2 linked regions of the Pelodiscus sinensis genome follow. The main gene of each other region encodes a partner of the protein of the gene in region 2 in a complex. Links are inferred from orthologs where the notes say so. Each region holds a gene or a part of one and is shown on either strand. Other genes may lie near its edges.

Region 1 (10,922 bases), on a different chromosome or scaffold from region 2:
GGAAGCATTACTATATTCATTTTATATAGGGAAATGGACCGAAGCATTAGATAATTTGCATAAGTCAGTCACTGGGGGTATTAGGAGTCTTGGGTTCTATTCCTAGCTACGTTCCCTGTTTTAACCTTTAGATTAGTGTGCTCTTGTACGGAGACAGTATAGCTTTTAGGAAATGTACAATGGATCATTTTCATTCGTATCTAATACACAATAAAACTTCATCTCTAGAGTTTATGTGAATCAATATATAATAGGAAGTGTGCATTAATTTCACATGGTTCTCTAGGGTACCATGTCCTTTCCACCCCAACTGTTGTAATATGAATAATAGACTTAAGGGAAAGAAGGATGATTCCTATTGGACTCAAGACAGAATCCTGGATGCCAGAGTCTCTGTCCATGCAATTATCCAGCCAAAAGCAACAGACTTCACACACCTTTTCATGCCACTGCAATAACACAGCACTGCTGTTGTCAGAGGGGCTCTCAAACCCCTTGTAGATGTATTTCATTAGCAGATCAACTCCATTCTTGTCCAGAGACTGTACTGCCTTTTCAATATCATTGGCTTTGAATGAGATGAGGACTTTTAGGACGATGCTTTCTGCACGATCCTGTAAACAAGGGGAAAAGTCATAACTTGGAATAACATGACAGACAGCCAAATGTTAATGATCTCCCAGGAGGTAAAGCTTTATTCTTAATTCAAAAAGCCAAGGCAGCTCGAACACATACCAAGTTGTCAAGCATACTGTTCAACAGACATTCACCTCTGCCCTACGACAGTATGACCTCCATGGACTTTGCTATAGCCATTTAATTCTAAATAAATTTCAATTTACAGTTAACATATGCAATTAATTTGAAATCAAGTTTTAGATAAATTAAAGGGCAGCACATCGCCACTGAGGTGAAAGAAGCTAGTCTCAAACAAGAGACTCATTCTCGTCACTGCATTTGTAACAAGTTTGTTCTAGGTTTCTATCTTTGCTTATTAAGACTAGCTTTTGTTTGCAGGACTCCACCCATAGCATAAGGGTGGTACTGAACTTTCTCTCTTGACTGGACAGTTCAAAAGTCGTCGGAAATTACAGGTCTGATTGGCTTCCCTCTCACCAACTAAGCAACCTCTTATTTTTACATTGTCTAGATGGACAGCACTTCTGTGGGCCAAAAGAGATCTTAAAGGAGAAGTATTTCTACTGAGCACGGAGTTCTGTTCAGCTGAGATCTATTTTTACTCTGCATTATCTTTCTCTTCCCTCACTGAGTACTGTATTATAACTAAGGAAGTTAAAATGTGTTTATTTAGGTAAATGTATAACCTCTGAACACTTCAGCAGTTACATGCAGGGGGAGGTGGCTGCCATCTGGACCCCTCTTCCCTCCTCCCTGCCAGAGAGGAAGCAGCACCAGGCCTGGGGTGAGGGGAAGCATGGAGGGGAAGTTGGCTCCCTGGGAGCTGGTACGCATGGGAAGCCAGCTTAAAAATTCCTTGTTAGCTAGAACTATGGACTGGACACAGCCAGTCAGTGCTTACTAGTCTGAGGTGATTTTTTTGGTAAGTTCACGGGCCATGTATCGCTTTAAGTCCAAGATACGTTACAAAAAAACCTTGGATTTATAGCAAAACAACTTGAAGCAGGGAATTCCCCCTCCCCCTCCAGCTGACTTTCATTTGTGCATTTTTTTTTTTGCACAACTGAAGAGCGGGGAAATGAGAGGACTAATCATGCCTCTGTTCCTACAAGCTTAAATGACTAGTGCAGAATGGATGTGTATGAGGGATGCCCTGTACTTGGGCTGAGTATACAGGAAGAGCTTAATCACCTCAGAGAGGAACAGTGAGCAATCTGTAGAAGTCTTAGGGAATTAGGAAAGAATTTACAGCATGGCACATGAATGTGAGTTATTAACTACTTCACCTTTACTGCTTGGTTCTTGGTATTGATTGGAGGATTCTTTAGGGCTGCCTGCAATGCAGCCATCATGTTTCCTGTAAACATGAGTTAAGGAAAGATGGGGAAACAAGGACATAGAAAGCAGCAGAGATAGTCACAATAGAGTGGGATTCACAAGTAACCTGTTTCTTACTGGGAATATCAAGCATGGATTTGTGGAGAGAATATTTTCCATACTGTTGCACCTACTGAAGTGTTCAAAGTAGCAAGTATTACCCAGTCATTTAAAGCAATGGGATCAATACTAAGGTGGTACAGTTGTCAGCATCAGAGTGCACCAAATCACACAACAAAGATCCAAATATAAATAATTCTAAGTTGACCCCTTTTATCTTCAAACTCCACACAGATTGGCAAAATATCATGCAACAAGTTATAACATGGCTGTTTGACACACACACACACACGAAAAGAAGATGTGATTGCTGAAACAAGCTGGTGAATGAGAACATACTTTGTACATACATCGGAAAAATATCATCAGTTAGGGCCTCAGATTGACCTTTCCTTTCCTGTTGATGTTCAATCTATCAGTCAATTCATCACACTGTAGTTGGTTATGATTCAGAAGAGTTTTCTATTAAGATTCTTATACTGCATCATCTAGAAACCTCCCAGTAGTGCATTAAGTGACACAACTAATGGGTATCACCAGGGCTCGCCGAACTGCGGCGAGCCCTGCTTGCCAGCTGCGCTGTCTGGTGATCTGCACATGGGCCTTCCAGGTTACAGTCTACTCACCATGGGCGAGTAGATTGTATTATTTGTCGAGCCCTGGGTATCAGAGGGGAGTACTCAACTTTGGAAGCCCCAGGGGCCACAATGATACTTACAGCACATGCTAAGGGCTGCAACTTAAGCGTGATTGCGTATACATGCAAATTTATATGCAAATAGCTTCTTTCACACTGACGGGCATGAATACAAAGATTAAGGCAAGACTACATAACACGCAGGTCCCATTTAAGTCAGTTCAGGTGAATATTGCATTTTATTAATATCAGCAGATTTTCACCCATACGACAGCACTTTTAATGAACAATGAGAGTCCAGGAATTTAACTACTAACACATATCAACAGAAGACCATTATATGGAGTTGCTGTTGTGGAGCATGTTCCTAACGGAAGCCCTGTTCAAAGGACCCGCAACGCTGAGCGCAAACAAACGGGCTGCATGCAGCCTACGGGGCGTGTGCCTTGAGTAGCCCTGTTATAGAACAATGAGATCCCAAGACTGCCTCCATTATTGTCATGAACTAGAACAAAACATGCTCTAGAAACACAGCTAATTCAGGCTTCCGGCAGATTGTACAGAAAAGGATACTAAGCAGCTCCCATTTGAATTTTCTTAAAGGGTCTTATGGTTTTGAGCAAACATTTCCCTTTTGTTTTTTTTCCCCTCCAGGTTTTTCCCCTCACCTCAAATTTGAAACCATAAAACCCACTTACAAGCTAACCTTATCAAGCGCAGCCTCACCCAGAAAGGGCACATCTGAAGCTAAAGGCACTAATATGTGGAAGTAAAAAGCAACTAGATTATCACAGACTAGGTGCAATTATTCCCATAAAAGGAAAACTTCACAGAGAACACACTTCCTCCAACTCTGCAGTGCAAGAGGGGTTTGGGGGCAGGGCTCTTTCGCTGGCCCTCCCTCCTGCTCTCGTGAGGTCAGACAGGACCACATCCTCCAGCGCATGCATGCCCATGAAAACTGGGAACCAAAGAGCTGGCGGATATGAACTTACATACAGGTCTAACGGTCTCTCTGGGCAGCAGGGCGCTCACCCCAGGGCCTAGACACAGGCAGGCCGGGGAATTGAAGGCTGTTTGTAACAAGTTGCCTAGACGGGCCTGGGGGTGAGGACCGAGCACCCCTGGGCTGTCAGCGCCCCCCAGCCCTGCACGTCACTCTCTGGGGCCGGGCGGGCCGGCCCCGCTCGCAGCCTGCTCCCGGGGGCGCAGCTAAGAGGCAGGGCTGCGGGACGCGGCGGGGGCACGGAGGAGGCCGCCCCTGTCCACGCCGCAGAGCCCCGGCAGGCTCAGGGCCGGGGGCGCAGCGTCCCGCCTGTGCCCTCGGGTCCCCCGGGCTCGCGACAGGGCTGGGCGCCCCTCCCCCGTCCAGGCCGGGACTCTTTCCCCGGCGCCCGCGGAAGGATATTGCCGCAGGCAGGAGTCCACCTCGCCCTCGTCGGGCCCGGCCTGGCCGTCGCCTCCCTCCTCCTCGTCCACGAACTTGTTCTCGTCGTACTCGTCCACGTCCACCCGGCGGAAGCGCGCAGACGACACCGTGTTCTTCGCCATCGCCCCGGAACCTGCCGGCGCCTCCCGCCCGCTCCCCTCCGCAGGGCGGTGCCCGCCCCCTGCTGCCCGCAGCAAGCAGCAGCGCGCATGCGCAGCGCACAGCGCTCCTTCCGCCTCTCACTTCCGATCATGCGCACTAGGAAAAAGTCGCTCGAGCGACTTTCTCTTCCTACGGTTTAGCCGCTCGCGCTTGACACTCGTGGGTGAGCGCATGCGCCTCGCAATGCCGCCTCTCTCTTTTTTTTTTTTTTTTTTTTAAACGCACGCGCACTTTAAAACCGCACCCCTTCTTCTCTGCGCATGCGATCTGCACGGACTTCCTTTTTCCTCTGCGGCAGCCGGCGGGCCCTTGAGCGCAGACGCAGAACAGGCAAGTGGGCGGAGGAAGGCAGGGTCGGGGAGGAGCAGGTGAGTTGTTGCGATTGGTCGGCAGGGGGTGGTCACGTGCTCTCCTGGGCCGAAGGGGGCCCGTTTCCATGGGAGCGGCCTCCCGTCGCTAACGGGCGCTCGCAGTAGGGTGGGTCGTGGCGGGCGGGGTGTGAAGCGCCGCTACCGGCCCCGCCGCGCTCGGCTGAGTCGCTGCCCCACACGTGGGTGTGAGGCGCGGGGACGCGCCGGGAGCCCCCTGCCCCCCTCCGTGCTCAGGGGCGAGCGCGCCGCCCCCCAGGTCTGTCTCCCAGCGCCGGTCAGTGGGGCTCCCGGCCCGAGCGCTTCCCCTGCGGACTCCCCGCCTAGCCCCCGGGAGCAGGCCTCGCGCTCGCAGACCCGTTTTCTAGATGGGGAAACTGAGGCACAGAGGCTCAACCGTTGAGCGCTGCCCCATGTCTCTGGTTGCCGCGGTTTCTCCAGGTGGGCAGGTTTCAGTGTCACTCGTCTCCTTTCGGTGCGGGCACGCTCAGCCTCGCTGGCAAGCTCACCCACCGTGCCCCAGACCAGGCTCATAAATAAATTAGGTGCCCACAAGAAGGGGCCCCTTTGGAAATGTGGGTGGTAGTGAGTGGGTCGTGGTGAATCAGTGGTAGAACTGAGACTAAAACCCAAGCATCTGGACTCCCGGTTCCTGCTTTTTTCTGCAAATAGTAATCCCCGTCTTTATATTGCTATAAACATCTTTAAATGATCTTTGAGGCCTATGAAGATCAGATTGAATTGAAGTATAAATTATATTAGTATTGTATGTAAAATAGACATTAGTAAATGTGAGTAAAAAATCTGAGTTTACAAAAAGTATTTTGCAGAATCTAATACGAATCATGATACTTGCATAATACTCAAAACATACATTGTTTTAGCAGATTAAACGTTGTCCCGTGGTACTGGGAATCCAAACGCAAAAGCATTAGGTTAATGCTATACAAGGAGAAAGTGAAATGGACTTTTACAGTGCAAGCTGAGGAAGTACAGAGAGTGAAGTAATATAGAAATAGTGAAAAGTACATTTTAAAAAAAACCCTCGATATTAATAACATAAGAACGGTGAGACTGAGTCAGACCCAAGGTCCATCTGTCTCAGTATTCTGTCTTCTGACTGTGGCCAATGCCAAGTGTCCCAGAGGGCATGAACAGAACACGTAATCATCAAGTGATTTCTCCCCTGTCACTCATTCCCAGCTTCTGATAAACAGGCTCAGTGCACTATTTCTGTCCACCCTGGCTAATAGCCAAAACTAGACTTATCCCCCATGAATTTATCTAGTTCTTTTTTAAACCCTGTTAAACTCCTGGTCTTCACAACATCTAGCAAGGAGTACCACAGGTTGACTGCATTATGTGAAGAAACACTTCCTTTTGTTTGTTTTAAATCTGTCAGTTTAATTCAGTGACCTTTCTTGCATTATGGGAGCAAGTGCATAATTTTTCCTTATCTACTTTCTCCACACTGGTCATGATTTTATAAAACTTTATCATATCCCAATTTAGTCTTCTCTTTTCTAAGCTTAGTCTTCCTTTTCCAGTCTTTTTAATCTCTCCTCATATGGCAGCCATTGGCAACCAAAATGATAAGGGGCTTACCTTTTCTGAACTTTTTCCAATGCCAATATATAAAAAAATCTTTCAAAATATTTTATCACATGTTCCCTTAACTGTATTTTGTCATGTTTTAAAAATACAATTAAGTGATGTCAGTGGGAGTTGAAGTAGGCCCCGGAGCACTTAACGTTGTTAAGATATAGAAGCAAGGAGTTCTACGGATGTAAGCAAGTAGTTGACTAGTTGAGTAACAGATAAGCCTAGGCTTATTGGTTAATTTAGTTGACTACTTGCTTCTTCCCCCTTGCTGCCTTTTTGAGGGTCTGTCTACACTTTCACCCTCTTTTGAGAGAGGGATGCAAATGCAGCTGAGCGAAATTGCAAATGAAGCGTGGATTTGAATTTCCCATGCTTCATTTGCATTATCGCAGTCTGCCGCTATTTTGAATTACCCTATTTTGAAATAACAAACGCTGTGTAGACGTGATTATTTCGGGAGAAAACCCTTCTTCTGAAATAACCCTTATTCCTCATACAGCGAGGTTTACCGGTTATTTTGTTCTGGCCGTGCAGGCAACCAAGCTCATTCTCATCTCCCACTAAGTCTGGGACCTACTCCTGCTGCAGCTTTGCCATTTTAGGGTATGTCTAAACTACATCCTTTTTATCGAAAAAGGGATGCAGTTTAGACATAGCCTCAATGTACTAAGAGCCAAGCGGATAAGCAGCCCGGCTCTTCCTGCATCTAAAATGCAGAGCTGCAGTGGGGGTAGGTTCCAGACCTGGCTTAAACCGGGACTGAGCTGGGCTGCCTGCCCACCTGGCTCTTAGTACATTTAAACTGCAGAGCCACAGAGGGGGTAGGTCCCAGATCTGGTGCAAGCTGGAACTGGGCCGAGCTGCCTTTCTTTATTAGCTAATCAAGTAGTTGATAAAAATTCTGTCCACTACTTGATTAGCCATTAACCGCATCTTACCATCCTTAGGGAGTTCTGATACTGAGACCCTAACCCTTCCCAGACTACGGAACATGCTTGACTTCATTCAAGTATATTGTACAACTGAAGTGAAAGTACAGTAAAACTCCGGTGGTCCGGCATCCAGTGGTCCGGTATGCCTGATGGTCCGGCACCAACTGCAACCCGGAAGTGCTCTGGCAGTTGCTTCAAGTTGTTAGAGTAATTGATTAACTGCGGCAGGATCCACAGCCGACACGCAGTTAATGTAACTTTCCTCTCTACTGCCGGGAGGAGGGGGGGGGGTAGGGGTCGGTGGGGGAGGAGGAGGGGGCGAGGGTGTGCCAAAGCAGCCGCATTCAGGACGTTCTGGTCAGTTACAGTCACTCCGGCTGGATCCACAGCCAACACGCTGTTAATGTAACTTTCCTCTCTACTGCTGGGAGGGGGGAGGATGGGGGGGGGGCAGGGGTCCCTCTCCCACCGACCCCTACCTTCCCCTGCCCCCCCCTCCTCCCGGCAGTAGAGAGGAAAGTTACATTAACTGCGTGTCGGCTGTGGATCCAGCCGGAGTGACTGTAACTGACCAGAACGTCCTGAATGCGGCTGCCTGCCTGTCACCGCCTCTCCTCTCCCACCACTCGCAGGCTCTGCCTCCCTGCAGCAGGAGGGAGGGTTTGGCACACCCCCGCCCCCTCCCCCGCTTCCCCTCTGACGAGACCCGCCCCTGCCAGAGTACCTCCTGATAGTCCGGCATTTCTGATAATCCGGCACCACCTGGGTCCCAAGGGTGCCGGATTATCGGAAGTCTACTGTACTCAGCAACTTGCAGTATCAAGCATCAGAGGGGATAGTGTGCATTTCTTGGATACAGAATTTGTGTTGCTATGTTGCATGGAAAAGTGAGAAGCTAAGTGGAGTTACCAACTTTTCTTTAGTTGCAGTATTTTATAACATTAAATATTAATAACAAATAATTGTATAGTGCTTTCAGTATTGTAATAATTTAAGCTTCATACTGTATATAATTTCAGCACTACCTTTTCAAACTTTATATAAAAGTTTCATATAATTCTGTTATATTTTTAAATATAACTTAAAAATCATACTATGTGAACTTCTGGGAGGTGAGAGGTAGCAGCCTTGGAGGGTGAAGGCTTTTTTATTCACAGGATCGGTACTGAGAGCATAGTATTTCCCAGGTTATGCCCACTCTTAGCTGAAGGAATCATTTCTGCAGATCCAGGTAGAGTTTGGGCCATATTGTCCATTTCATCTTTGCCATATGCTGATGCTTCTAATAAAGATATTAATTATGCTGGTGTCTTGTATAATGTGGATATCTCTCTGGTGAAAATCGGATTGAGACCCGTCAATTCCATTTTTTGTACATCACTAAAAGTCATTAGTGGGTCCTGAATTTTCATCATTACTGGCCTAGTTTGGATTTAAATGAGTATTCAAAAGGTAAAAGTTTCCAGATCCACAACATCAGTTTTCTGACCCATCTAGACCCCCTGCTTGTATATTAACTTTCGTAAGAGATGCCTTTACTTCTTTTCCCCCCTTTGATATCTGTAGTCTTACTACTTAAAAGTCGTTCAGTGATTTCTACCATCTGAATCGGTCTTCCATGGGAAAAGGTTTGTGAATGACTGGTATCATTAGATAACCCCTTAGACATTTTTAAATGCCTTACAATATTGTTAGGTTTGAGATCTGAATATTGCCCTCCAAAGGGCAGAAACTTGCTTGCAAAAGGTACCAAATGGCTGTGAGTCAGTCATAAGTGGTGGCAATCTGCCATCCATCATTGCTGAAGGTGGGTGAGCAAAATAATATTTGCTGCAAATTCTACCGATCTTTTTGATTTTCATATATGTTGCCTGGGGAGATGCTTTCATGAAATAAGATTTCATTCCTGTTATGTTGTTAATTGTATGTGAATTTTGATGATCAGCTAACGCTCTTGCAGGTAAAACTGGATAGTAAAGGGTTGCTTCTGGCATACCACTCACAAAATTGCAAAGGAGGGAATGTCAGATCCTACCACATAATGGGTTCAGAGTCACATAAGGCCATAAGCTGGCAAGGCTTCGTAAAGCTTCACAGTTCCATATGGACACAGGGAAATCATCCTCAGTGTAATAAAGCTGAGAGAAATAAATACAGAAGATAATGTCTCGGTACTTTGTCAAGAAGTTGTAGATCTTGCTTATGCAGCAGTGCTCAGCCTCATTACAAGGAGAATAGTTTGAATAAAGAATTATATACCCAATGCCGTCATAATCGTATGTAACTACATGCAGATAACCACACATCTCAAACAACATAGACTCTGGATGGATGTTACACTTAAGGCAGTTGGTTGCATGGCCCTTTTGGACTAGTGTCCCAGTAGGGTTGCCAGATGGTTGAAACAAAAATTCTGAACACTCTTCTCCCCCCCCCCCCCCCAAAAAAAAAAACCACCAGGAAAAAATTCTGTTGAAGGGGGGGAAAAAGGGAGGGGGAGAGACCAAAGTAGTTGAGCAAAAAATAAAATAAAATAAAACGGCATTAAAACAGCATGTCCCCTTTAAGAGTGAGTGCAGGGATAGGAACAGGGGAGGAGTTGAGCACTAAGACCCAGTGGAAGCATTGCTTCCCCTTGGTCGGCAGTCATTTTGTGCAGGCAGCCTTGTGGAACCAGGTAAGCATGGGGACTGGGGTCGGGGGGGGGGGGGGGGGCTGGGTGTGTTGGGAGCCGGGGAGAGGGGGTGTCGGGGGGGGGGGGAAGGCCAGGTGCTGAGTGTTTGTAGGGTTGCCAGGTGCCCAGCATTTTTGCATCCTGGCCAGGGAAAAAATCAGAAAATACTGGACTGTTCAGGTGAATACTGGACACCTGGTAACCCTATGTCCCAGAGAAGCTCCTCAGTTCATAGAATATAAGATGTTTGTTTTGAGGACTCAGTAGCCCATATGGGAATCCAAAGGCCATATGAAATTCCACATAAGGGACTCTTTCTTCTTCACCTGTCCGTATATGATAGGGGCATTTAGCACAGCTCTGTGTCTGCCAGTAGTAGGACTTTACTGCTGTTCCTTGATTTGTCAGATATTCCTGGAAAAAAGTTTGCCTTTCTGGGTTCATATTTCTGTAATTAACAATCCTGAAAGAAGAAAAAAGAAACTCATAATTTATCCCTCCCATTTCCTTTACATGTACACTGCTAATATAATGCATATTCTCCTCTGAATATACTGCTGCTCAAGTAGAGACTAGAAAGCTTTGTGGATGGCAGTCTCAAATTAAGAGAGGTAAAGTTGGAAGCATAAGATCCAAGATTGTCCTTGATTTTGTGGGCCTGCCTTCTTTGTTTAAAAAAAAACCCAAAACATAACAGAAAATGTCTCTACCTGCTACTACCCCCGTCCCATAAAAGTGCAAAGTATGTAATAAAAGCATTGCATACTGTTCAGAAATTGAATCACTAGGTTTTCCATATACAACCTGATTACATCTATGCAAAATCGAATAGTTTAAAATGTATAATTACCATCAGTACATCGCCAGACCAGGATAGTCGTCAATTTGTATGTAGTCCACTTCATAGTCTTTTCTGGGACCAATTATTGAGTCCAATTTTAGTCTAATCAATTTGTAAACTTTGGTGGGGAGAGGTTAGATAATTTGTTCAATGTAGGAAAAATCTTGTTCTTGTCGCCTATCTACCAACTTGTAGTTTTGT
Region 2 (10,793 bases):
CTGGACCGGGCTGGGCAGAGGATGCAACCGGATGTTCCGGGCTCCCAGCACAGAGGCATAGCGAGGAGGAAGTGGGGGGGGGCAGTTGCCCCCGGGCACCACACTAGGGGGGCGCTGGGCTGGGGTGGGAGCAGAGCACACAGCATCATGAGTTGTGGCAAACCTGGTCTGTATGGAAATGCTCCCTGTGGGATTGTGCTACTTCTGGTAGCAGTTTCCTATAGGAGCACTACCTTACAATTGTACAGATGATAAAATGCTACCAGTAGCACATTCCTATAAGGTAGCAACTTTCTACATTACATGAGCGTTGTTGGGCCATGTACTCCCTGTGCAATCAAGCCTCCGAGGCAGGGCCAAGCAGCGACTTTAAAGGTAGGGTTTAAAGGTTCAGGGCCCTGCCCCATCGTGGCAAGGGTGGGGGTGCAAATTTTGCTTTTGCATAACACCCTTGCTACTCATCTGATGTGAGGGGGGTGCCAGGCTGGGCTGTGGGCGGGGCAGGGAGGAGATATGTGGCGCTGGGCTGCAGGAGTAGGGAGGTGCCGGGAACCCGGGGCTAGACTCAAAGGGAGGGAGTGGCAGGAAATCAGAGCTGGGCTCAGCAGTTTTGTGGGGCTTTGAGGGGAGTTGCAGTGAAACAGGGCTCAACTGTGCTGTGAGGGAAGCATGCAGGGAACCAGTATGGGGATCAACTGGGCTGAGGTGGATGGGGGAAGGCATAGGGAACAGAAAAGCAGCTCAACTGGGCTGTGAGGGGCTGCAGGGAACTGGTGCTGCACTCCCTTGGATTGTGGGGAATGGTTTTGGGGGAGCTGCAGGGAACCAGTGGAGGTGGGCAGCTCAGTTTGGTTGCAGGGGAGGGAGGTGCAAAGAAGCCTAGTGGGGAGGGAGGGAATCAGGAGCCCTGAAATGACTTCCCCTGGTCCAAAAAATCCGTCATCTGGTTTGGGAAACCCTGGTTTAGCCAGCTTTCTATCCATCTTACAGTCCATTTATCCAACCCAAATTCCCTTAACTTGCTGGCAAGAATATTGTGGGTGACCGTATCAAAAGCTTTTTCTAAAGCTGGCACTGGGGGCGTTGGGAGGACCAGAAACAACTTATTTGCATATTGATCATTTGCTTAATGAATATGCAAATATGAAATTGAATGTTACCGGTCCCCCAAAAGCTCATGAACAGATTTACTGGTCCCTGTGTCAAAAAGTTTGGGAACACCTGCACTATAGGAACCAGATTGCTTCTTGATATTGCTTGTCACCTGTTTTATGGAATGTTGTTATTTCTATTGCAATAAAAATGCCATAGAATAGATGACTTGATGTAACCATAGAGGTAAATTGAACTAATATTTACTTTTCTTTTGGGTTTTTTTTGTGGCAGGAAAATGAAGAAGATAAATCTGCTACTTTAGATGAATATTTTCAAGACCAAGTGGATGAGTAAAGAGTGAATATACCAAAGCCTGGTTGTAAAATATGCTTTGTTAAGGGATCCTCTAAATATTTGTGTGTATTTTTTTAAAATATCAAAACTGTAAGATAATTTGAATAAATCACTAGAGAAAGTGAGTCATGCATTTCCATATTATTACTTTCAGAAATAATTGTCATTCTTGTATATAAAATACTTAGCCTCAGTCACAGTAAGCTATATTCCATGAAGATAATTGCATTTCTCTTTTAAATGCTAGATTGTTTGAAAAATATGGTGGTTGTAGAGGGGGACTGTCAAAATAAAAATATTTTTTTTCTTCCTTGTTCTAATAACTTATTAGTAGGAGAAAATGTTTAAAAATCTAGATAACTTATAATTTTCTCCTAGAGTTCATATTTTGTATTTTACTCAGATAACGAAAAGTGGCATAATCATTTTTACTTTGTGATTAATTGTGTGCTTATTTAGTGGTGGTAGCTTTTCCTTCCCACCACTGCAGACATTTAAATGCCTCCAATAATGTGTTTTGGGTTTTTTTTTGTAACCCTCCTGTAAATGTTGAGATTAATATATCAATCGCCAACTTCATACCTGTTTTAAATTGATGTAGCTCTCTTGGTATCAATGAAGTTAAACCTTGTTACACCAGGTATGAATTTGGTCCAATAGAATTTTGTTAATCTGATCATCAAATATTTAATTTAATTTAATTTTAAACAACATACATTATAGACCTATGCAATCTGGCAGTGTCTGTGTATCCTTCAAGAGATGTTTTGAAATCCTTAGCTAATGGCAAGTTGTCTGAAAGGGAAATCTGACTTTTAAGTGATGACTTAATACTTTGGATTTTCACAACTATTTCTGAGAGATGTGAAAAGCTGTTCTTTGAAGGTAATTGCTGCTATTGCTGTAATACTCTGTACAATAGTTGAATATGAGAGAATACTTTTTCAGATGTTTATATTGCATTATTTGACCATCACAATGTTTAATAAATTGTGTGTGAGAGAGCCAGCAATTCCCTTGTTTATCCTTTCAACCTTCTTAGGATTTCAAAGTTGGAAAATCTGGTTTGCTTCAGGAATTCTGTCCTCATTTTAGCATCCTCTTCGGACTAGAACTCTTCATGGTATGTTTTGAAGGGGCACTCTTAGATGTGATCAAAAGTGTCCTGATGTGAAGGTCACATGACTGCTCCAGAGTTATATACACCCTACACAGAATGGTAAGGATATCTAGGTGATAAAGTGCACCCTTCCCTTATCTGTACTCTGTCCACTAATCTATTTCACCAGGAACTATTTCTAGGATTCCAAAGAGCTGTCACTTCAAAATTAACAAAACAGAGTGTGAGGTTTAACTTTTCCTCCATCATTACACTGCTTTGCAAGAAGTACAACCCTTAATAGCAGAGAAGTCAGAGCTTGGAAATACTGGATTTTTAACCTATTACTGTTGGAACTAGGAAACTTTACAGTGGTAAATGTCATTTCTACCTGTGTGAGATTCATGATGAAATACTGGACCATGAAAATACAACAACATGATTTGAGGGTAATTTATTTTCCTTTTCTGTTACACACTGGACAACATGTGGCATATAAAGAATGACCAGAGATATGGTGTGGCATAAAGGTTTGACAGTTGTTTGAAATGACTTGTGAAACTGATTTGTGACTCTACAGTTTGTAAATATTGCAGCTAAACTCATGTTGATATATATTTCATGTCACTTCACTGTGTGGTTTAAATAAACATGCATTTCATCACTCAGAACAGTAGTGGTAAAATGCCTTACTCAAATATTTGACCCATTTGAATATAAATAAGGCAATAAATAAAATAAGACAAGCTAAAATACAATACAAGCTAAAATAAGACAAGCTAGTGAAAATTGACTGACATTTGTAAAAGGCATTTGATAAAGACTGAATGTAATACTAACACAGGGTGTTGCGCTATTGATAGTTTCACCCAAGGTTTTCATGTTTCCAAGAGAGCATTTTAAACACTCAGTTGAGGGAGGAAAAGTTGAATAAGTTTTGGTTTTCTTTAAAGTACATGTGCTCTCCCTCACATTTCTATATACTGACAATCAGTGACACATTACCAAAGAGCTCTCATTATATGTTGCTCCTTTTATTATTTTAATGTGCTAAGAATCAAATCAGTACTTTGAAGCAAAACTCTTGTGGACTTTGGTGGGAGTACTCATGGCATAAGAGTTGCAGGATTTCATTCAGTATAAGGATATGTGCTTTCAGGCAGCCTACTCCAGCTAAGATTCCATGAACAAGACAAAAATAAATAAAATCCTCTTGTGCTACTTGAAATAACTTTTCTGTGGATGAAAATTGTGAAACACAGTGATGCCTTCCTAAGAAAGAAAAACATTTCTGAATTAGATTAGAATTGCCAATAGTTATACAAGGTTGACTACACTATCTACTAATTTAACTAACTCCAGAGGAAATATTGTCCAAGCAAGTATTTGGCATCAAATAAGGCCACTATGTATCCTGTCTAATTTTTTTTGAGAGAGAGAATTCATATTTCATTGGTATTTGTATTAAACTTATATCATAAAAACTGTGGGTATTTTTGTATATATATAAAACCCTATATGCATCTAAAACCTTGAGTAACTTCATAAATAAGGGAGCAGTCCGTCTGATTTCTCATGAATAAAGATACGTGGTCGTATTTTTGGAGGATTTGGCCCCAAATGTCAATTACAAGTTACACATGCCAAGTCTATTTTTGGATCTAACTGATAAGCTTATGGAATATGTTAGCTTTTAATAGGAGAGTATTATTAAATTTTATTCTTTGTAGTGATGCATTTATTGACACTGTACATCATAATTATTCAAATAATGCTTAATAAATGGTCATTGGTACAGAAATAATTGTTTAATGATTTAATGTAGAATTGCATTTAGATCATGTCTTGTGACTGTCTTAATATCTACTTCTCGAGTTCTAAATGGTTCAAATTATGAGCTTTCTGTCTATTTCCTTAGGAGATAATTAGATCATCTAATTCAACATCATATTTATGTTCATAATATGGTTAAGCTTTTTCTGCTGATCACAGGTAAACACCTGACAAAGTTCTCATAAATTTTAATCTTAAAAATGATTGTTCACAGAAAACCCACAGAGACTTTTGATGAGGCATGAAGTAGATTTATTTTATTTTTTGAACAAATGCCTTACCTGTACAATGTTAAACTTGGAGCAACAAAACATTTTGGCCAAAGACTGTATTTTATATCTTTGAAAAGGCAAATTAAATTGTGTGTGTGGGGGGGGGGGGGGTCTTCTTGGAATGATAAAATAAAACAATACATTTTTCTGGTTGTTGAACTCCCCTCTGCTCTCAAGCAAGGAATCCATCTAAGTTGATATCAAATACAGGTAATGGTGGTGTGTATTTAAGGAATAAATTCTGTGTGTCTCAGGGAGAATGCATTCCTTTCAAATATTCTGAAGGGGTGATATTATTGCAGGGAGGGGGCGAAAGGCACTTGAAAGGAGGGGGGGAGGGAGATAGTAATTGGTAGCAGGATAAGAATCCCACAGAATGATCCAAATGGGAACAAATAAAGATAGGGAAACAAAAGGTTGCTAGAAAATTGAAATGTTTTCTATAAAAACTGGTCTTGAACAATACCCTGAAAATGTGCCGTTCCTGCATTGGTTTGAAGTGAGTACATCCTACAGAAAACACATTTATTCCTTTACTCAGTAAAGTAGGAAGTGCCATGGATGCATCTTTCCCCTGTAGGATTCTATTAGGAAAAAATGAAGCATTTGGGCAAGGCTATAGGCCTTGATCGAGCACTAAGATTCTCACAAGTGGGCTTTTGTGTCTGCAGTGGAGCCAGCTCTCAGGTTTTTATCATGGGTTTCATGATACTTGGTGTTTCTCTTAGAATCCCAGCTTCTGGAGTCAATTGATTATGCAAGAATCCCAACTTCCATTATTTTTAAATTTAAGTTTCTGTCCACCAGAACTGTGGAGAAAAGCTGAACCTTCTGGGCTCAAAACCCAGATTGACTAAAAAATCATGATAGTTGAAAAAAAATTTTTTTTTTGCCTATCTAATGATTTTGAGGGGAACTTCTTGTTTCTGTGTGGAGTGAATGCAGGCCTGGCGCCTACAGACCTTGCCTATACTTTGAATTCAGCAATCAGCACCCAGCAGCCAACTTAGATGCACAGTGCAAAGCACAGCGAGAGGCAGAGTGCTGTGCTTTGCACTGGTGCAGTTGCCAGCTTTGACTCTCTATGTTGTGGGCTCAGTTCATTTCCAGACTTGTAGGCCCCTGCTCTGGCAATAACAAATCCCTCTTGAGCAGCGCAAACAGAAATCAGGGATCTGCAGTAGGGTTGTAAAAGTGTAGTTGATTAACCCATTGACCTATAAGCAAAAGCTTATAGGTTAATGCTATAGACTAAACACATTCCATCCTCCTCCCTACTTGCCAGTAAGTATTTTAGCAGGCTGGTTGGCAGCCCAGCTCAGTTCTGGCTTGCACATGATCTGGGAGCTCAGACCACCCCCAGATGGGGGCTTCTGCCCACCCCATGCTACTGCCTCTTTATCAGAGGTGGCAGCGCACAGGTCAACAGCACAGGCCCTCAAGGGGAGCTGGGTTTTAAACTGGCTTCCCGCACAAACCGGCGCCCACCAGGCACCCCATGCTGCTGTGTCCGATACCCAGGCAGCATGCAGCGTGGCAGGGGCTATAGGATAGTCAAGTAACCCATAAGAATTCATGAGGTTACTGGGCTATTCAATGAACTGGTATTTAACATCCCTAATCTGCAGCCTTGTCATTTGTTACATCAGGGAGGACTTGGACCCACTGCATTTAGAAAGCAAGAACCGCGCCACATCCTCCCCCAGGAGCTGAGGCCGGGACCCTTGCGAGCGCTCTACCCGCAGAGGCTCCGCGGCCGCTGCCTTCCTAGCGCTCTGCCGCCCCCTGCTGGCCAGCTCCTGCCCTGCGCGCACAGGACTTCCTGCTTGCAGCCGCCTGGGGTGGGACAGGAAGGGCTGGCTCTCTGCAAGCTGCTGCATTGCTGACTCAGGCGGCTTCCTGCGCTCTCTGCCTCCTGGGAAACGACCGTCCCCACCGACAAAAAATGCCGGTAAGGAAAAGAGACCCTGCGGGTCTACAGGGCCCCGGCTCCTTGCGCGTGCTTGGGTTGCACCCCGCTGCCCTGCGAGCACTGTGGCTGCTGCTAGCCAGGGAAGGGCAGGAAATGCTACGGGGGATGGATGCTAGGCCCGGGGCTGAGCATTTGGGCCCCTTGGCTGCTGCTCGTTTTGCAATCCGCAGCCCATCAGGGGGGCTTCAAGGATCGGGTAGAAAACATCACAACGGCTCTGGGGTTTCTTTCTCTGTTCAGAAATAGGAAGAAGCTGAGCGAAACTAGCTGCTGCAGTGGGAAATGTCACCTCTACCAACAAAACGGGGGAACTTCCTTTTAAGGCAATAGTCAGCGCCTCTGCAAACCGCACGGCACTATTCATGATATTGTCCCCCACAAAGGATTTTGCTTCATATGCGCGGGTCGACGCGAAGTTAGCTGGTTGTTGATTTTACAATTAGACTAGATGGGCAGCTCTTTGTTGATTTAATTGGGGCTCTGGGCAGATGAAAGGGTGGGGCCTTTTCGTTGTAACTTCTCAGTTTATCTTGTGTGATTTTTTTTTTTTTTTTTTTACACAGCATTGGTAAGGTTGCAAAACACGGTTGTCCTTGCTTACTTAGCATCATAAAGAAATAGAGTGGAATTATATGATCACTGCCCCTTGCTCAAGGCCTGCTGAGCCCACCACCTAACTTAGGGAACAGCTGGGCCTTTCCAGTTTGACTAAACCCCTACAAAATTAAGAATATTCCCTTATTGGATAAACTAGGAGCATTATAGGTGAAAATTACTTTTATATGAAAATATTTAAAAAACCCAAAACAAAGAAACAGAAAAGTCCCATCAGCATTGGTGTTTTAAAGTAACTTATCTTATATTCTAAGTGCATGTATATTTTGAAATAAACCTCCTTTCTACAACATTGGCTCATATTGCAATTGTCAAGAAAAGATTTAAGCACCAAAGCAGAACGTGATTCTTAAGCTGTATCTACACTGACCTTTTTTTTTTAATTGCCATTGTTGAAGCACCGGAAAAGTAGATATGATAAAGGTTCTGAACATATTTGCCATCAAGTTATTTAGATCTGCTCTGAGTTAGACAACTGGTGATGGAAGCACACACTTCTACCTCTTCTATGTTATAGCATTCACCATTATTGCCTCCAGTTAGACTATGGCAGTTTCGTAGTAGGAGTCGTCCTCCCCCCACCTCCCCAAATGTTACTAAGGCCTAATTAGCTAGGTAAGCAAATACCACTGAACTTCCACAAGGTGTGGTTGCTGGATCATTGTTAACTGGACAAACCGTGCATCCATCATTTAGAGGGGGACATTTGTGTAATTTTATTCTTTCAAGGGAGAAAACTACTTATTTTCTTTTTATTGCTCACAGTCAGACTTCCTCTTTTGTTTATAGGCTTATCACTCCACTTTAATGGACTCCGATACCAAGTTAATTGGGAACATGGCTTTGTTACCCATTAGAAGTCAGTTCAAAGGACCAGCTCCAAGGGAAAGTAGGTTCACAACACTCTTTATAAGTACTATATCTGTATTTGCATTTATTTATTTTGCAGTCCATTTAAATCCAGTCCTAATTGCTTCTCTTTCATGAATATTTCATATCACTGATCTGGAAATGGTTATAGGACACTTTATATAAACTGTATCTACTTGAGGCTTTTGATTTTGTGTGTGTGTGTATGGTTTTCAAACTGAGGAGAAAAGGGACAGATTAGAAATGGGTACTTCCTGGTAATAGAGGAAGTTGACTTTCAGATGGCTATTAATGCTGTTGGATTGGGGGTTTCTTTTGCCTTCTGCTGTGCCATCTATCCGGAACATTTACCCTTCCCAATACAAGCCTCTGAATGCTTTTTCCTGAAGAAGAATCCTCTGATCTAATTTGTATAATGTGTCCTTCTCAACTGCTGTTTAAAATTTATGCCAGTGCCTTGAACCAACAGCTGACTCCAAACTCTACTCAGTCCTGTCTTGTGATAGTCACCCCCTTTCTATAGCTCTTGTACAAAATTATCTGTAGTGTTGTTGCTTCTGAATTGTTTTGTTTCTTTTCACTCTATCTTGGTTTCTCCTCCTTCTCCCTTTGGGAGTTGTTCTATCCACCTTAGAATAATAATCTGTATGTAACCCTTGCTTTTGTTAGTCATTTTATCATCTTGAGTCTTCGTATGTCACTTTTAATCCAAGACACTAGTCTTGTAATTGAATCCACATGGTTTCACATGGAGCCCCATTGATTTTAATTGGCTTTCCATGAAGTGCAAAGGTCTCCTTGTGCAGACCCAATGGTGGGATTGCAGCCTTAGCATGTAAACTCTGAATCATGTCTTGTTGGACACCATGGATCTAGTGGAATGGAGCCATTATTATTAATCCATGTTTATTACAGTAGTGACTAGGGACCAGTCAAAATTAGGGCTCCATAGTGCTAGACACAAATCCCAAATTCAGTCCCGAAGAGCTGGCAGTCTAAACAGACAGGACAGATGAAGGACAGTGGGAAGGGCTATAACATGCAAGCAGAATGAACAATGTGTGATCAGTCATTTGTCCTGATCTTGACTGGGGCTTCCGAGTGCTACCACAATAAATAATGTGCTATTTTTCCAGTGTGTCTTCAGTGATGAACACATTTGGTTTGTTTTCTCTTTGATGCCTCCAGAAGACCTTGTTCTAGTTTAAATTCCGTAATCTTTTGATTTGTGTGTGTGTGTGTTTTTTGTTTTTAATTCAGCCTAAATTCACTATTGTCAGGTTCAAAAGGGTAACTGTGATAAATCTGTATCTGCAAAAACAACGAGAATTCCTGTGACATGTTAAAGACTAACTGTTTTATTTGGGCATTAAGCTTTCATGGGTAAAACCCGCTTCATCAGAAGCATTGGAGTCAACCCATAAAAGCTTATGCCCAAATAAATCTGTTAGTCTTTAAGGTGCCTTGTTGTATAGTCAGGCTAGTTCCTGGGGCATCATGCAACTATTAAGATTCACTGTGGTCTTTGAATTGCGGGTTTCAATAGGTTTTAAAATAGTGGTAAGATTCAATATAACCCTTTATAGTAGTTAGATACTACTTCAGTACTTATTCTCCTGATAAGTCTTTCACAATGCCTCATGACTACTCTGCAGGATTACATCTCTATTCAATGGCTCCACTCCATAATGGAGTGAACAATTATTATATTAAAAATCAAAGCTGCTTGATAGTAAAATTTACTTTGGCAAGCATAAAGCTTGAATTAATTGATACCTCATCTTACAGTAAGTGTCTTGTAGTACGTGCTGCCATGTGTAAGTAACGAAGCTGTGGTCATATGGGATACTGCTATAACACTTATTTTCCTATTAAATCTTTGCTGGGAATTAGTACAAAACCTCTGTGGCTTTGTTTTTGGGAAGAGTTATTGTTTTTGCAAGTGAGTGAAATGGAAGATCATGCTACTATTTACTGTCAGTCTTAGCAAACGTCACTCCTCTGTTTCCATTTAAATTCTAGTGATGTTATCTTTAAGTTCTGCCTAATTTTCCCATTTTCTACCTTTCTTGCTAGCAAAGGACACCGATATTATAGATGAAGCCATCTACTACTTCAAAGCAAATGTCTTCTTCAAGAATTATGAAATTAAGGTAAGAAATGAAGATTTAAGATATTAAAACCTGTGCACAGTTATTAGAATCTTGTACCCTGTTGAATTGTAGAATTACTTCACTGCAATAAGCTTCAAGCTTCCAAGAATTTTTATTTCTCTCTCTCTCTCTCTCTCTCTCTCTCTCTCTCTCTCTCTCTCTCTATATATATATATATATATATATATATATATATATATATATATTTAGAGAGAGAGCGAGCGCAAGGGAGAGTGGGGTATATAATGAAAGAAACAATTTTTTTCTAGTTAAAACTTTTCAAGTAAGGTAAATGTGTCTTCTATGCTGTCAACGCATCTCTTTTGTGAGAGACCATAGACTAAAAAGGTGATAGCTTTGTCAGCAGGTGTAAAATCTAACAATAGCAAATGGCTTCTGCTTCCTTTTATTTGACAGAATGAGGCTGACAGAACATTGATCTACATAACTCTCTATATTTCTGAATGCTTAAAGAAGCTGCAAAAGGTAATAAAATTTAATTTAATTTAAGTTGAAGGAAGAAAGTACAA

What was found. Proteins that work in one complex are often made in the same cells at the same time.
Region 1: ARPC3 (region 2) and ARPC5 share a complex: the UniProt entries of both Homo sapiens proteins name them as parts of the arp2/3 complex. The link is inferred for Pelodiscus sinensis from reciprocal best matches to the Homo sapiens genes ARPC3 and ARPC5.

Annotation. Positions count from the first base shown.
Region 1 is NC_134719.1:57,208,954-57,219,875, reverse strand, and holds the start of ARPC5 (actin-related protein 2/3 complex subunit 5), read right to left. Parts: upstream 4,362-10,922; 5' UTR 4,265-4,361; coding exon 4,122-4,264; intron 1,999-4,121; coding exon 1,926-1,998; intron 615-1,925; coding exon 438-614; intron 1-437. UniProt on the Homo sapiens protein: Component of the Arp2/3 complex, a multiprotein complex that mediates actin polymerization upon stimulation by nucleation-promoting factor (NPF).
Region 2 is NC_134725.1:32,219,524-32,230,316, forward strand, and holds the start of ARPC3 (actin-related protein 2/3 complex subunit 3), read left to right. Parts: upstream 1-6,468; 5' UTR 6,469-6,598; coding exon 6,599-6,604; intron 6,605-8,029; coding exon 8,030-8,129; intron 8,130-10,186; coding exon 10,187-10,263; intron 10,264-10,680; coding exon 10,681-10,749; intron 10,750-10,793. Other genes in the region: GPN3 (GPN-loop GTPase 3), read left to right, coding at 1,387-1,449. UniProt on the Homo sapiens protein: Component of the Arp2/3 complex, a multiprotein complex that mediates actin polymerization upon stimulation by nucleation-promoting factor (NPF).